Drosophila melanogaster: one gene and its partners. The protein of the gene in region 3 purifies or fractionates together with the protein of the main gene of each other region. This does not show direct contact. Each region holds a gene or a part of one and is shown on either strand. Other genes may lie near its edges.

What was found. Proteins that work in one complex are often made in the same cells at the same time.
Region 1: the proteins of exu (region 3) and DCP1 purify together in Drosophila melanogaster (affinity purification with western blotting, with the first as the bait; one study listed by BioGRID). This does not show direct contact.
Region 2: the proteins of exu (region 3) and yps purify together in Drosophila melanogaster (affinity purification with western blotting; one study listed by BioGRID). This does not show direct contact.

Annotation. Positions count from the first base shown.
Region 1 is NT_033778.4:23,887,679-23,891,964, forward strand, and holds DCP1 (decapping protein 1), read right to left. Parts: upstream 2,599-4,286; 5' UTR 2,515-2,598; coding exon 1,396-2,514; 3' UTR 1,086-1,395; downstream 1-1,085. Other genes in the region: CG5597 (uncharacterized protein), read left to right, coding at 196-386, 447-724, 803-1,067; DNAlig1 (DNA ligase 1), read left to right, coding at 2,918-2,934, 2,992-3,054, 3,110-3,400, 3,461-4,093, 4,149-4,286.
Region 2 is NT_037436.4:12,120,595-12,126,925, forward strand, and holds yps (ypsilon schachtel), read right to left. Parts: upstream 4,557-6,331; 5' UTR 4,293-4,556; coding exon 4,118-4,292; intron 2,981-4,117; coding exon 2,243-2,980; intron 2,180-2,242; coding exon 2,082-2,179; coding exon of another isoform or gene 2,070-2,081; exon of another isoform or gene 1,561-2,069; coding exon 1,513-1,560; 3' UTR 1,086-1,512; downstream 1-1,085. Other genes in the region: CG11560 (uncharacterized protein), read left to right, coding at 49-465; Ir68b (ionotropic receptor 68b), read right to left, coding at 4,893-6,331.
Region 3 is NT_033778.4:20,666,927-20,673,492, forward strand, and holds exu (exuperantia), read right to left. Parts: upstream 3,836-6,566; 5' UTR 3,712-3,835; exon of another isoform or gene 3,710-3,711; intron 3,566-3,709; exon of another isoform or gene 3,452-3,565; 5' UTR 3,425-3,451; coding exon 3,275-3,424; intron 3,206-3,274; coding exon 3,053-3,205; intron 2,970-3,052; coding exon 1,674-2,969; 3' UTR 1,649-1,673; exon of another isoform or gene 1,426-1,648; intron 1,357-1,425; 3' UTR 501-1,356; downstream 1-500. Other genes in the region: Fem-1, read right to left, coding at 1-268; galla-1, read left to right, coding at 4,458-4,752, 4,820-4,932, 5,193-5,343, 5,414-5,511. UniProt on the Drosophila melanogaster protein: Ensures the proper localization of the mRNA of the bicoid gene to the anterior regions of the oocyte thus playing a fundamental role in the establishment of the polarity of the oocyte. May bind the bcd mRNA.

The DNA of each region.
Region 1 (4,286 bases), 3.2 Mb from region 3:
TCGTAAATATACGCTTTCGCCAAATTATATAGATTTTTGTGTACAATGTGTTTTGGATTTGCCTGTGCTGCATATGTACATATATTCCAAATAATACCGCGCGTGTTCTGTAATTTCGAGACCTCGTCGTGCTAAAAGCTTTTCGTTTCGTTTCTGAATTCTGCGTTCTAATCAGTAATATTCGCTCTCCCCCAGATGCGCTATGCTATCCCACGAGGGATGAGTCCGAGGACAAGATTATAGTCCTTCAGAACGAGGAGATGGAGCCCACGATCCTGGACTGCGACTACGAGGTGGAGGAGAGCCCGAAGTTCATCACCGTCAAATGGTACAGAGACGACAAGTCCATATACCAGTGGATCTTCGGAACACCTCCATATGCCATCGTGAGTGAACCAAACGGTGTGGTGCGCTTAAGATACTAACCGCTTTCCCCTCCTTGATAGCCCGAGTTCAGGAACGAGATTGACAGCACCTATGAGAGCTCCACGGAGCCGAGCAAGCAGTACAGCTCGCTGGCTTTGATCAACCCCACGATCGCCACCACCGGCGACTACAAGTGCGTGGTGCAGACCTCGCTGAACACCTTCTCCAGCCACCAGAGGGTTCAGGTCATAGACCTGAGGAACTACACCCTGGAGCTGTCCCACAAGACGATCCACAATGAGACGCAGCTGAACTGCACCGTGACGAACGTGTATCCCAGGCCCACCATCACGATAATGTAAGGACGAGCGCCTGCCTTGTCGTAAGACAGCCTTGTAGTAAACAACGTCCCAACTCAACTCCGCTCCTATTACAGATCCAACGACATGGACGTGGTGAAGCGGGAGCCCATGGTGTACGAGAACGAGGAGGGATACTTCGATGGCAGCGCCGTGGTGGCGGCCTACGACACCGACGACGATCCCGATGCCTACCAGTGCGTGGTGTCCTTCGAGGGATACGGCAAGAACCTGACCACGGTGGCCACGTCCGCGGCGGCGGGCAGGAGCCACGTCGACTTCAGCCTGTGGCTGTTTTGTTTTCTGTACTACCTGCTCTGCAAGCTGAAGGTATTGGCCTAAATAAAAGCGTTGTTATTTATTGTTACTAAATTAATGTTTATTGAATTCTGTTTGCCATTCAACTACCTTTTCTACGCCCCTTCGGCCTAGTTAACCATTTTGTAAATAAATACGAATACTTCACAAAACCAACTACGTTAGTTAACTCTTAAGGTTGCTCTGGAAATGGATGCCGTCCTTCTCCGGCGGGGCTTCTAGATTTTAAATCTACGACTGCCCTTGTCGGCTTACAGCTATTACATTTTGTAAATTAACTCGGCTTGAACTCGAACTCCATGCGAACAAATGAAAATATGGGCTGCAATTCGGAAATGTTGAATATTTCTGTTTATTGATATGTGGAGCTGGAGTCCAGCAGTAGATTGGAACAGCCGTTCAGGTAGGCCTTGTGCAGCTTGTTGGCAAACTCCTTATCGTTCTGGATAAGGTACGTGAAGGCCTGGACGAACTGCGTCGAGTTCAGCAGTGGCTGCTGTGGCTGCTGTGGCTGCTGTGGCTCCGGATTGCCGTTGTTGGGCGCGTCGAACATGGTGGGCGGCATGAGGGCCGGCCCGGGCTTGTCGCCAGCCAGCAGTCTCCGCAAGCACTTGCCGGCATCGTCGTTGGCCATCAGCGCCGACGAGGACGGGGCGACTGTCGGAGATTGAGCCGTAGCGTAGCTTTTACCGATCTTCAGGTCGCTCAGGAGCTGAATGTTAAGCTGCTGCATCTTCTGGAAGGGCGACAGCCGGCTCTCGTGATTGTCCCTGCCTGCCGGGGGCAACAGATCCTCGCCAGGCGTGGCTGCCCGCTGCTGTTTCTCCAGCTGGTCCACGGAGAGCGGCTGGACGCGGTGGAACAGTGACTCTGCCGTGGCCTGCTTGGCCGATTCGAAGAACTTCAACACATTGCCGGCCGTTACGTTCTCCGCCGAAGGCGTCTTCGGCTGCCCGCCGCTCACCTGGGCATTGTAGTCCTTCTGGGCCTTGGTCAGCATGTTGAATATGCTGGCCGGCTGGCTGCTGTCCTGCTTTGGCTGCTGGGGCGCGGAGACGTGACGCTGGGCCTGGCCATTCGTTCCCTGATCCTTGGACTTGAGCAGCCCGTTCACCAAGCCGCTGATGCGGTCGCACTCCTCGCTGTTGTAGAACCAGAAGCCGCGGATGCGCGAGCGCTCGTTGCGGTAGAGCAGGAACGGCGGCTGCGACTGCAGCTCCAGGCTGCCGGTGATGGGCTCCACGAAGGACGTGGTGTTCAGTCGGTTGTTGATGAAGATGCTGTGAAAGGGCTCCGCGTTGCGGTGGTATATGAAGAAGGCTCCCTCCACATCGGTCTTTTCCCACTCGTTCTGCGACGAGTTGAACGTGTAGAAGGCGACGTGCGAGGACGAATCCACGATCTCCTTGGCGTACGGGTCGATCTTCTTGATGGCCGCCAGGTTCATTCGCGTGATGCTCTCGTCGGCCATTGTAAATTGTATGTAATCTTCAGTTTTGGCTGTGCTATTGCGAATTGCAATTATTTGTGAATTTAACGGCGCTCTGGTCACACTGCCCCGTGGATGTTTTCCCGTGTTTATCAACGACTGTGCTGCGGTCACACCGAATGACAATAAACTCTTCCTTTTGTCTATTAATGATTTGTTTGAGAAATATTAAGTCGATTGACTTGCATATAAAAATGGCCACAATTGTACGTAATAATATTTCTCAATTATGTAGCATAAACATTTAATTTATGTTTACTAATAAAATTTTCAACTTCGATAGCATTTCCATTTCAATATATCGATACTGAAGACCAGCTCTAGAAACTGGCGGGAACTAATTGCATTGCAATTTGTATTTATTTGAACACAGAATTGCCACAAAATGCAAAAGTCTATAACGTAATTTACGATTTAACAAATGCTAAGTATTGCCAATCTAACAATCCCCCGTTTCAGCTCCTTCTTCAAGAAGAAATCCGATGCCACCGACAGCCCCTCGCCGCCCAAGAAAGTTCCTAAGTAAATGGTGCCGCTGTTTTCTTGTTTCATTACTAAATTCCTCGACAAATCATAGGATTGATGCGAAGACCGAACTCCCAGATGAACCCCACATCAAGAGCGAAAGTGCCTCCCCGGAAACTAAGCCCAAGGTAGAACCTATGTCTGTGGATTCCGAGGAGAAGACAAGTCCGGTGAAAAATGTTAAGAAGGAACCAAAGGAAGTCGATGACAAGACCACTGACAAGAAGGTCACAACCATAGGTCTCAACTCCACTGCCGCTACTAAGGAGGATGTGGAAAACTACGATCCATCCGCCGACTCCTATCATCCGCTCAAGAATGCCTACTGGAAGGACAAAAAGGTGTAAGTAGTGCAGGATTTTGAGCCTCCAAGGCGAATTATATCAAAGGAAACACTTTCCAGCACTCCCTACTTGGCACTGGCCCGCACATTTCAAGTAATCGAGGAGACCAAAGGCCGGCTCAAGATGATCGACACGCTGAGCAACTTCTTCTGCTCTGTGATGCTGGTCAGTCCGGAGGATCTTGTGCCCAGCGTCTACCTCAGCATCAACCAACTGGCGCCCGCCTACGAGGGACTGGAGCTGGGCGTTGCCGAGACCACCTTGATGAAGGCCATTTGCAAGGCAACGGGGCGTAATTTGGCTCACATTAAATCGCAGACGCAGCTAACCGGGGATCTGGGCATCGTGGCCGAGCAGTCGCGCGTTTCACAGCGCATGATGTTCCAGCCAGCGCCTCTGAATGTGAGGGATGTGTTCCGGAAGCTACGCGAAATAGCCAAGCTATCCGGTCAGTCGAAAATGGACCTGGTGTACAATATGTTTGTGGCCTGTCGATCGTCGGAGGCTCGCTTCTTTATCCGTTCATTGATTGGCAAGCTAAGAATTGGCATTGCAGAGCAGAGTTTGCTCACAGCGCTGGCCATTGGTTTGGTGAAAAAGAACCACATCGATGATTGCAAGGCTAGCAAGGTGCCGGATGTGTATAAGGATGAAATAGTCGACACCACTTTGCTGTTGAAAACTGCATACTGGTAAGAACTAACTTAAGAACCAGCTAATAATTCAGATGCTAACGAACTTTTGCAGTCAGTGTCCCAACTACGATATCATTATACCGGCCATTCTAAAGTACGATATTAAGGAGCTGCAGGAACGCTGCCCCATGCATCCCGGCATGCCGCTGAGGCCCATGCTCGCCCAGCCCACCAAGGGGGTCCATGAGGT
Region 2 (6,331 bases), on a different chromosome or scaffold from region 3:
ACTGCACTTTTATACCCATACAAGTCAAGCTGAAACTACATAATTTAGATTATCCTGCAGCTGAAATCAAAACGTGAATTGGAATCCTCCCACTCCAGACCCCTGCTGAAGCTCTTCTCCGAGGAGAACTTGTCGACTGAACCAGAGGAGCCGGAAGACGAGATTGAGATTGTGGAGGCGGAAGATCAGGTGCCCATCGAGCTGGACCTATGTGACATCCAACATACTACATCCGATGCTGGCGGTGAGGCAATCGAACCCAAGCCAACGGAAAGTGTCGCCCAGTTCGATGCCAATGCCATTTCCGAAGCGGAATCCTATGCCAAAGCCTGGGCTCACGCCTTCCTGCGGCTGAACGAGGACCAAAAGTTCTACGCCAAGCGCTCCATAGATGAACTACTGGTCTTGGGTCGTCTGGAGCGACTGAGCATTTCCACGGTCACATCCTTGACCACAAACCTGTAGCACCTCACCATGCCAATACCGCATATGTAAATTAGCTTAAGAATTTATTTATATTGCAGACTCAATGATTTGCTCACTTAACGTAGATCCCCAATAAATAAATAATAAAAATTAGAATAAATATATAAAATAATATATTCGATAGCGATTTAAGTAAACATTTATAAACTACACTTTAGTTTAGAATTTACACAAATAAACAATACCAAAAAGTGTTTTTCAATTTTTTTATTTTTTCCAATACGTTTTTAAAGTTTTTTTTTTTACTTTCCTTTGTTGCCATCTTGCGTTTGTTGTATATTTTTGCATCTTTTACAGTTTTTTTTTGTATGTTTGTTTGCTGTGATTTACATGATTTCGTTCTTCTGTTTGTTTGCTCTGCTTTGCTTTCATTTCTTTTCGCCCGATGGCTATGGTTCTCGATTTCGGATGATGCATAAATGGGACAAAGTGGTGGTGTGGTTATTGGTATAGGTTTACGTTTTTAATGATCTTTAAATCGAGTAACTTAGAGTTATGGGTTTGCTTAACGCACAACGGGTAACAATGCTTTCAAGAATAAATAAATAAAAAATGGTAATAATCATTAAAGTAAATTGTATACCGGCGCCATCTAAATTGCAGTGTAATTGAAATTTATTTATGTTTTCGTGTTTGGTTTGTTGGTTCATACAATAAAAATTCCACAATTATGCAATTTTTTGACGACGGCCAGGCTTGATGGAAATTTTATACAATTTTTTGTTTGTTTTTGAATTTGATTGAAATTTTGAGGATGTTAGTTTTGTTGTGGTATGAGTTGTACAATTGATTCTCTGCCCTACGAAACTAAACAAAAAGCAAACAAACCGAAAAAACGCGGCGGCTCATTTAGCAAAATTTGCTGCAACATTTGCTGATCTTATTGCACCATGATGTTGCATTGGTCGCTGATGTTGAGGATGGGCTGCTGCTGCTGTTTTTCTGCGATTGTAGTTATATACTGCGGCTACTGCTGACGATGTTTTTGTTTGTCGGTTGACGATTTAGATCCTTTCGGATCCTTTTCTATGCAGTGCTCTCTGTGGTTGTATTTTGCAGCTCTTGAGCGCCGTTCTAGGAATTTGAACATGGGAAAACATGGCGAGGGGGGTAGAAATCATTAACGTAAGTACAACTTCAAAAATAAATCGAAGGGATGAAAGCAAAATGCTGGTTTCGGTTGTAAATTAAGTGTGTGTGTGTTGCTTGTTAGCCAATTAGTCACAGGTTAGGTAACTAAAAACTAAATGTATTAGAATGTTATGTTAGACCCAAAGCCTCCAAGTTAAGTGTAAAGTGTTAAATGTTAGGGTGGTTTCTCCGCTTTATCGCTGTTTCTCTGCTTTTGGTGTCGGTGCGTGTGGCTGCTCTGGTTGTTAGTGGTTATTTACGAATGCATCTACACAATGCACTTTAGTTAGTTGTTTAGTTTTTAAGACGCCTTCACCATGTTATTATTGTAGACCTTGTTGTTATGCTTGCGACTGACTGTTGCTGATGTTTACTAATTTAGATGTTGTTATCGTAGGTTTGTTTCGGCGAAGATGTTTCAGTTGTTTCTGCTGTTGTGATGATGCTGGTGATTAGTTCATTACCTTCTCTGGCTGCTGCTCCGAACCACCGCCAGGGCCATTTGGTTTCCTCTGGCGACGTGGACGTGGCTGTTGTGGGCGTGGCGGTCCCTGGCCTTGAACTGCAACAGAATAATATTAATAATAATATATACCAATTATCTAATAGCACAAAGTTCACTCACTGTATTCTCCGCCGTCGCGGCGTGGTGGCGGTGGACCATTGTTGAAGTTGCGTCGGAAGAAGCGCCTCTGGGGTCCGCCCGGTGGGCCTCCACCGCGACGTGGTCCCTGACCCTCGCCGCGCTGCAGACCCTCGGGATTCTGATCGTGGACACCGGGCTCGGCGCTGCCGTCACCGCCGCCCAGGCCGCGTCTCGGCTGACGCAGATAATAGTTGTTGTAGCGCCGGGGGCCACCGGGAGCTCCACCAGGCGGTCCTCGGGGGCCACCTCGAGGTCCTCCGGGCGGTCCACCGGGTGGTCCTCGGCGGAAGTTCTGTCGTGGTTGACGCGGGCCGGACTGCACCTGCTGCTGCGGCTGCCCGTCAACGATTGGTGCCGCCTGCTGCTGTTGCTGCTGGGCCGACGATTCGGCGTCTTCGCCTTCCACTTCGCCATCCTTGCGGCGATTCTTCTTCATCCAGGGACGGAAGTTACGGCGCTTGTCCGCTGCAAACTGACTGCCCCGCACCGGCTCACCGGAGGGACCGGTCACGTTGGCCGCCTCGTTGCCCTTCTCACCAATGACCACGTCGAACTCAACGACCTCACCGTCGCCCACCGAGCGGACCGCCTTTTTGGGGTTGTTCCGCGCAATGGCGCTCTGGTGCACAAAGACATCCTCTCTGGTGTCGTTGCGGTTGATGAAGCCGTAGCCGCTCTTCACGTTGAACCACTTGACGGTGCCGGTGACTTTGGTGGCTGCAATGGGAAAGAGTAGAAATTATAAACAATTGGGGATAATAGTGGGATTCAATATTTTTGGCGGTACTTATTCTACAAACGTGTGATCATTTAATTGATTTCAATGGTATAATACTTGTTTGGGATCAGTTGCAATCATTCCTTTATCAAATATTATAATCCTTTAAACATTATACATGCAACAAAAATATTAGGGAACAGTAGGGATGCACAGCGAGCTGACTTCTAAAATACAAATAATTCTACATAAGAAACTTAAATTATACAAAAGGGGTAGTTTTGAGATAATACTTTGCATTTTTTTTTTATTATAAAGGAGGGGCAAAACGCAATACATCTGAAACTAAACTAATACGCAGTTTGAAAACTCATTGAAGCGTGCAATAACATTGAAAGACGTTTTATAACCACAAATTATTGGTTAACAATTATTTAAAACTATGGTTACCAAAATTTCGAATAAACCATATAAGTATGCATATAATATGTTGATTTACGCGAAAATATAGTGGCATCCCAAATTATTTGGCAATATATTGTAATAGTCGCCGAATATTATTGTATCTTATTGGTTGCATTATGGTCTCGTGTTTTGAAATCGCCTTATAGCCATGCTTCCATGCGTTTTAGTGTGTGTGTGCAAATAGATGTACCAAAACAATGAACACACACATCCACACCCGGCTGTCTGCCCTCTCGTTCGCACTCCCGCTGCGCGCGCATTAACAAATTGGGTTGCCCTGGCTCGCTCTGCATGTGTGTATGTGTGTGTGTGTGTACACCTATGGGGGGGCATTTTTTAAAGAGGCGAAGCGGGTGGGGTTGGTGGTTGGGTGGGTGGAAAGACAGACGACCGGCAAAAGGCAGAATTTTCAATTTGGTTAGCCGGCGGCGCGAGCGTTCGTGCACATACATATATACATGCGTTGCGTTGCCTTTGGCCGCACAAAATGGCCGACGCGCGTATATTTTAAGACTCAAAACACACACACACACACGCATACAGGGAGGCATGTTTCTTGTTCTTTTTTCCTCCTTTTTTTCATTGCTATTTTGGTAGCAGCCGCCATGTGTTCGCGGCACATGAATGAAATTGGTTGGGAATTGGGTTTAACATGCGAGTTTCAGCCTTACCGATGACTTCCTTGGTGGGCGGAGCGGGCTGGCCCTGCTGTCCCTGCAGCTCGTCCAGCGGCTCCTGCTCGTGATCCTGCTCCTGCGGATTCGGCGGATTCTGCTGCTGCTCCGGCTGCTGCTGCGCCTGCTGCTGTTCGGCGGCCAGTGGCTTACTCTCCGCGGCATCAGCCATCGTTTGTCGTGGTTTTGTTATTTGTTGTTCGGCGACGACGAAAACGAAAAGCGGGAAATGCTGCTGCTGCTGTTGATGATGGTGGTGCTGCTGCTGCTGGTGTTGTTCGTGTCTGCCCGGCTGGTATTCGGGGTCTTGGGCACTCTCTCAACTGCCACTAACCACTTTGGATGTTGTTTTTGAGTGTGATCTTAAAACACTCGCCACTCGCAGGGTTTTCTTTGCCTTAGCGATTCTATTTTGTTCGCAAGCTCCGGAAGTGAAACATGACAGCCGGAGGCAGGGTTGCTGGTGATCGGACTATCGATGGGTGCTATCGATGCTCTGATACTGGGGGTCTCCAGTGTGCTGTTACGCGCGGAATGTTAAGCCATAACAACATAAAAAGCCGTTACATTTAAATTTACAAGAAAGGTTAATTGGAATAAATGGTTAAATTCATTAAATGGTTAGAATAATATAAAACTACAGTTTTATCATTAAAATGTATAAAACAACATGTCCAACTAAACAGCGGTGAAATTTATTGAAAACTTAGTATAGTATTTACAATAACAAACATATATGTACCTTTTATTTAGTAATTTTTAATATTTTTAGTTAGCTTGTTCTAGCTTCAACCGCATTCCGAAGTGTCTGTCTCCGCCAAAACCAATGAGCGTGCTCCACTGCAAATCCCAAGCAGCTTATGCCAATCCCCACGGACCAGAGATAGAAGGCGCCCTGCAGGATGTCCAGAGTGAGAACCACCTTTTTGTTACGAATCGCCAACTCGTTGGAGCCGGAATCCGTGTCCGTCTGGTCGCCCAGATCCTCGAGAAACTCCTCAGCATCCGGCGACGCACCAACCCGGGTGATCAGATCCATTTGACGCCAGTGCTCAAAGAAGCCGTGCTCGAGGAAGCCACTGTACAGAGATTCCAAGCGGTGCAGAAAGGGCGATCCTCTTGGTAGGATGTAGGTGCATATCATAGAGCGCAGATATTCCCGGGCGATGTGGTAGGCTGGTCGCTCTGCCTGCGAGTCATAGGTGATGGCCAGAAAGTCACGGGCGTGAAAATCCCGCATGATAAAGGCCGCTCGTCGATCCCTGCGCCGGACCACCGGCTGGTAATAGGATGTGGCTATTCCCAGTGGCAGCTGGCGACTACGGTTCTCCAGCAGACCGTATTGGTGCTCCGTCAGGGCGCTCCTAACTGCGTCATACATCGTGGTCACCGCATAAATGTGCACATCCAAATGTACCAAATCGTCCACTCGGTCCACCTGCTCCTCGTAGCTTGGTCGCACAAATCCGGACTCCAGTTTGGCAAAGTAGATGGTGGACAGGACGTAGCTGAAGAGGATCCAACCCATGAGGAACGTTCTCATCGAGCTGAAGGAGGATAGCCTGCCCGCCGGTTCACCCACATGTGTCTTGCCGAACATCTCGAGAATCTCATACCACGTTGCCTGAAACTGGATGACTCCGCGACGGGGAATTCTTCGCTGCAGACGTTGCATCACCCAGAAGACCAGCACCACAACCAAAAGGGTGACCAAGAGCAAGTACCACACAGTTCGCCGAAAGACACGCACGAAGATCAGGTACTCCGGCTGGATTGCGGAGGCGGGCACGACCAGGTGCAGGTTGCGACGGGTATAGGGATACAGCACCTCAACCGCTGGCCAAATGCAGTCGAGCACGAAGCGGGAATTGGGTGCAAAGTGGGTGTGACCACCGACTATGTCGCTGACCACGCCGGTGTAGTTTCCATTCGGAAGGCAACGACCGTAGGATTCGTTATCCTCCGGGAAGACATATGTTACTGAGGCATTCAACATCTCGCCAACAACTCGGGCCGCCACTCCATCCACTGCCTGATAGCCAGCTGTCTCCACAGGACTCCTGGGCATCGCCATCAACGGATCCGTAAACATGGAGAAACGCAATGGGTAGCCGCGCAAGTCCTTCACCTTTCTTGCGTACGGCACTTCGCCATCCAGCCGCTGAATCACTTGGAGACCACCCCAAGCAAAGGGATCAAAGTCAAAGGTGC
Region 3 (6,566 bases):
CCAGGTGGGTCTGCACCGCCCTGCAGCTAACCGAATTCAAGATCTCGACGAAGCTCAACATCTGACCACTGCGGGCCGCTAGGTGAAGGTTGTTTAGCTGGGAGAAACGTAGACGCGGCTCGTGGGGAAACTTGGCCCGGATCTCCTCGGAGATCTCCACCAGCATTCCGTGGGCCATGTTGAAGTAGCCGAAATCGGGCGGATAGCCGTCGTATATGGACGTATGTGCCTCGTCTAGAGGCGCCTCTTCTGCGGGATCGACGTCCATTCTGGCCGGGAAATGGACGATGCTGCACTGATCGGTGATCACTGATCACCAGGTATGGGTATGGAAGCAATCCACACAGGCCCACTCTTTCCAGGCCAGGCGGCAATACGGTCACACCTAGCGGTGCACCTGCGAGAGTGAAAACAGTGACTCGGCGCGATAGGCTGACCGTTAGTTTATCGTTCGTTTATTCGCGCCCTTTGCAGATATTACATATGTTTGTTGATTCGTTAGTTTATCGTTCGTTTATTCGCGCCCTTTGCAGATATTACATATGTTTGTTGATTGTAAATATGAAACATATATGAAATACAGCTTGAAATACTGGATATGTTCACAAGTGTTGGGTTAGATTAAGTGTGCGAATTGAATATGCTTTCTGTGTGCGTGCGTGTGCGTGCGTAAGGTTAACTGTATTAGATTGGTGTATTTTTATATCGTGCTTTCTTTAGCTTCAATGTGAAAGTTTTCTACATTGGACCAGGCCTGGATCTTGGGTTTTATTCATAGAGTTTTGATAGTGTGCGTCGACAGGCCCGTCCAATGGAAAATTTTCATCGAGGCGTTTCGTTTTGGATCATATTTTCCCAATCTCCCATTTGAGTGCGGCGATGTGCATCGGTTCGCCGGGAAAACTATGCCTAAACGCAGCGAGTTCTTAATTGTACATCATATTTGTTGTTCCTTCTTCTCCATCATTATTTCTAGCATACGCTGCTTTAAAGTGTGGATATATAGTCTCTTGAGTTTACAGTGGGCTCAGCATCCTCCCTATGCTGGACAATATAGTTTTCAAACGTCTCGATTAACAATTCACTCGTTTCAAAAATGTCGCTTGAAGCTTGTGTCATCACTATTCAACAGTCACTGTTTACGTCACAGTCACGGTTTACTCACACTATCGATACACCAACGTGCTCGTGAGTTGTGCGCGGATGTGTTTGTTGTGTTCACGGGAAATTTGCTTCCACTGGAATTTAAAGCTTGTCTGCACTAGATCTTCTAAAAGGAAGAAAGTTCGTATGTGGTTTAAATCTCCATTCTCTGCCCTTGTCTTCTTGTGTTTTGATCATCCATTTTTTGATATACTGAAATGGCAAAATGTCGGTTAGGAAACTCAATCCCGAAAATCCCAAAGTGATTTGAATGATTAGCTTAAGCGTTGTGAGTTTATATTGAAAATATGTAATAAAACCTTTTACATTTAGCTAAAAAAGGCTACATTTTTATCAATATATTTGATGCATAAAATTCATTAAAAATACAAGCAAGTGTACGCAATTCATAAAATTAATCAACAATCTACATGAAGGCTTACCCCTCGTTAACTACGTTATCTACAAAGCAAATGGCAGAAGTATCTCAATATAAGATATTTACTTTACGGATCCACCAGAACTGGATTTTAGTTGGAGGCCGTGATGGCCACCGGTGTCGGTGAGGGTTGTGCCACGACTGGGCTTATGGTTACGGCAGGTGGAGCGCTATTGTTGAGCTCAGACACGCCTGAGGAGGATATTTCAGCAGCAACCTTGAGTCCATTGGGGGTTGCACCCAAGCTTTGACGCGAGTTGCGCTTACGGTGCATACGCGGCTTGTTTGGCGAGGGAGTCTTGGTAGTAGAGTCGGGCAACGAGGAAACGCTGCGCGACTTGTCACCTCCTGCTCCAAACTCGGTGCTAGCCGATGGGGAGCTGGATGGCCTAGCGTCCTTCACCGATTGGCGGCCGCCGCGTCGATTGCGACGACGATAATTGTTATTATTGTTGCTGTTACCCTTGACAACCGGCTTCACCGTGGTCTTCTTGGGATCGAAATAGCTGTCCAGAAGCTCGAGCAGCTCCGCCTTGTCCTTGCTCTTTAGCCGGCCAATTGACTGCAGGGCTATGTCCAGGCCCTCGATGTTTTTCTCTGCCCAGATGGCACTTAGCGTGTTCAAATCGAACCCATTCTCGGCCAGCACAATGCGGAACTTTACGGCACGCACACGATGGTACAGAGTGGTCTTGAAGTAGTTCAGGAACACCGGACGGAAGGAGTTTTGACGCTCCAAATTTTCGATCTGGATATCCAGCTCCAGGACATCGGACACCACCAACTTGGCAAACGGACGTATGGCATTAAACATATTCTCCAATGCCTCCGAGCTTTTTGGTTCCGGCTTGCCGTCGGAGTTGCTCAGCTGAAGGGCCACATCAAAGGCCAATTTGGCACGAACACTGGCATTGCCATCAAACAGTTCCCGCTTACCCTGAACGGCGTTCTTGCTAGATTGCTTATCGTCACCATTGGTCACGGTACTGTCCCTGGGGGATATCGATACCGAATCGGACACCATACTAGATCCAGATCCCAAGCCAGATCCAGATCCAGATGTGGACGCAGAGCAAGCCGCGTCTTCCTCCTTGGTCGTGGACAAGATCTTGGAAAGCTTTCGCAGACTGTAGTTCTTTATGTTGGCATCGCCAATGGAAGCCTTGGCCAGATTGATGCTGTTTGCAAACGACTTCACCGACGCGGTGAAGCGCTCCAACAGGCCGTACTTCTTCAACGACTCCAGGATCATGTAGGGAATGAACTTGCGCTCTTCATGATAGATAAGCACAATCCCGTCCGAGCTGGGACCCGCCTTGGTCTTCAGTTGCTCAAGCCAGTTGAGGAAGTCCTTGAGGGCAGCGATCTCAGACTTGGATTTAATGATCTGAGAGGATATTGTATGTTGAATTGTGGATGCTTCAATACTTGACTGCCACTATTAAATGGACTGGACTGCACTGGACTCACCTTATAAGTCTGCATCGACTTCAGCATACGATAAAAGCCAATCGAAATAACACGAACTTGATGACGCTGGCGAGCAGCTGGATTCAGATTCATATATGGCATGATGTACTGCTCGAAGTGGTCGGTGGGTGTATAAGCGGCCAGCTGGACAATCTGTGGGTTTATCGCAAGTGGGGTTAGGACCGAACGACGAACGATCTAACGGCAGTCAGGGGGTATTACCTCATCCATTAGACGACGTCCAGTGGTGTCGATATCCACGCCCACCAGGATATAATTACCGGCCGGCAGCTCAACTTTATCGCCCACGGGCGACGAGGATTGATCGGCGACGGCAATGGCCACTCCGGCATCGATGTTATCGGCAACCATTTTCTTATATGATCTGCGAAAAGCAATCTAGAAAATTCGGATAACGAAATTAGCTGAGTCACTAGAATTTTTTTTTTTTAAGGAACCGATTTCCTTTGCAAAACGCGAACCGCTTTCACTAGATTTTCGATATGAAGTGACGGGCTACGAATTTTCAAGAGTCTATTAAACCCAAAGCTACAACTAACGGTTTTCTTCCAGTGGCGCCATCTTTTACACAGATGTTTTTATGTGTATGTATGTATGTTCACTTTCACCACACTTTAGCACTTTTCTTTTGGGCTCACCTTTATTGAACTCCTTTTTCGTGTTGGTTTCGATGGGCTCTTTCGCTTTTTACGAACTTTTTCCTTTATTTTTCAAAAGGTTAAAGCGAAATTTGCTTCTGTTCGACGAGCTTTCACAAATAAGAAACAATTCGTACGACTAACTAAAACGTAATGAATAATTTCCTGATGCACCCGACGGCCTAGGAAAAGTGCGCGAATTTGACATATGCAAAGCCTGCTAATCGAGGTTTTTGACTTAAGTACGATGGGTTAGACAGCTGCAACTCGTCCACATCTTGCCACAACGCCCACTGTGCAGGTGAAAACTTTTTGCAGAATATTTTTACCGCTGCTATAATAAAATATAGTCTTTCAGCTTGTAAATAAATTTTTTTCCAATTATTAGCCGGCAAAATTGGTGGGTAAACAACAAATATTTGGACAAAAGCGCAGACAAGAACTGATAAGAGGATCAGGGATGACGAATTTCAAATGGTTGCGCCAGAGATGACAGGGTATCGATATCACTATCGATAGACTTATCGAAGACGGCTTAGCACTTATACCTACTCTGCAGCCCTGGTCGGCAGAAAAACAATAATCAGCTGATGCCATCGCTTATTTCCAACAATTTGCACCGCAAAAGTGAAGAATTACCAAGCAAATAGATCGCCTGCCGACCGAATTATGCTGCTGTAATCACCCAAGCACACAACGGTAAAGATAAAACCAGGCGAGATAACACCACGCACAGGTGCCACAACATGCTGTCCTACATAAAGCGCAAGCTCTCCGAATCCGACAGCGGCGTCAGTTCGGTCGCAACTGTGACGTCGTCGTGCGGCGGCGATAGTGGGAGAGCGGGCGGAACGGGCAGCAGTGAAAGCGGTACGGGCAGCAGCAGCGCCAGTATCAGCGGACGCAGCCAGAACGCCGACGAGTTAGTGCGCAAAACGAGCCAGATGTCGATGGATGATGAGGCCATTGCCTTCGGGGAGGACGCACTGCTCCATGAACTGGGCTACAAGAATCAGACGGAACTGCAGGAAACCATCTACGGTTCGATATTTAATGGCATTCTTTTTCACTTTGGCCTAGTTATGTAATTTCTCTTGTCGTTACACAGATCTGTTGCGCGGCATTCGCGATCCCGAGAAGCCGTGCACTTTGGAGGACCTCAACGTTGTCTACGAGGATGGAATCTTTGTGATGCCGCCCACGCGCTCCAATGTCTCAGTTGTACGTTACTCAATATCTTTATAAGCCATAAGCTTGAGCCCTAATCATCATTTCATCATAAGTTAAATCTGCGCGTGTGTTTATTTGCTTTCATCACTATTGTTGCTTAATATTTGAAAGGATTAACGATTTAGCTTCAAAATGACTTTAAAATTGATCTCATAGCTTAAAGTACTTGTATTATACTAAATCCACACCTCATAAATCTTTTGTGTAGTAAAAAGTTGAAATGCATGGTATTTGTCTCTTAATTCTTTCAGGTTCGCATCGAGTTTAACCCCACAGTGCCACATTGCTCGTTGGCCACGCTTATTGGACTCTGTATACGCGTGAAAGTAGAACGCGGACTTCCGCACAACATAAAGCTAGACATATACATCAAGAAGGGAGCGCATCAAACCGAGGAAGAGAGTAAGTTGGACCAACCAGATACTATTATCATACATATGTGTTCTAAGTAAAAATGATTACGTTTCCCCAGTTAACAAGCAAATCAATGACAAGGAGCGCATCGCTGCGGCCATGGAGAACCCCAATCTGAGGGATTTGGTCGAGAACTGCATCAAGGATGAGGAGTAGCTCTCTTTGCCATATCTTTTGTACATAGGGAATACTTTGAGGAATGTCTAGGATTAAGTGTACCATTAAGTTGCATCAGGGAGTGTGTGCTTAGCATTAAAGCCCTTAAAATCTGTTAATCGCTCGGCCGTTTTGATTCCACCAGAATATCGATTGCTCAACGTCCTATCTATTTTCCCGCCTATGCTGCTTACTGATAAGGTCCCCCGGGCCCAACAACTCTCATTGTTTACATTGTGCCGAAGCGATATGGCCGTCGGACATTCGGCCCAAGAAAACCGTGTGCACATCGGTGTCATGGCGGGTGAATGAATCTGAATCGCAATCGTATCGATGGGCCGGCCATGTTGGGCACCAGCCAGACGGCGTGTACGTCACACGGATTTATCAGCTTCAGAAGAGTAGAGAATGTTTGGGGCGTAACGCAGGGTAATCACCTGCCGTTGGCGCTGTTAAGTTGAGTGCATGACACACATTCGACTCAACTCGACTCGGCTAATTTCTTTGCAACTCTCCGGTTTCAGTGAGCACTTTGTTGCCATGACTGTCGCTGTTTCTGCTCCAATTTGCATTTCCGGGGTTTTCCATTTGTTAAATTGCACTGCACTTCCGCTCATTTCGCTCTTACTGCTCCCCCCACCAAAGTGGCAAGCCATAAATATTAAGCAATATCAATTAGTTGCTTGCCATCGCGCTCAAAATGCTTTAAACTAATTTCCAAAGACTTAGGCAAAAAACATCCCCACCAGCAATTAAAACCATCTGGCGCTGCGAACTTTTTGCCATGACACCGCTGGCCAATATTCACGGAATGGAAACCGGACCAGAGCAGACCCTTCGTGCCCCTAAGGCGTGCCGCGTGCCTCAGAAGGCGAGGGAAAAATAATAAAAATGAATGCGCAGACAAAAGCATATTGCGAATATTACGCTAATTGGCGACTGCAATCAAAGCGGACCTCGGCCTGGACACGTCGGCCGAAAGGAATAGGAGTGGCAGACACTAGCTTCTCCCAGCCTTCCAGCAGCCGTGTCGCCAGCCTGACCATGACCGAAGC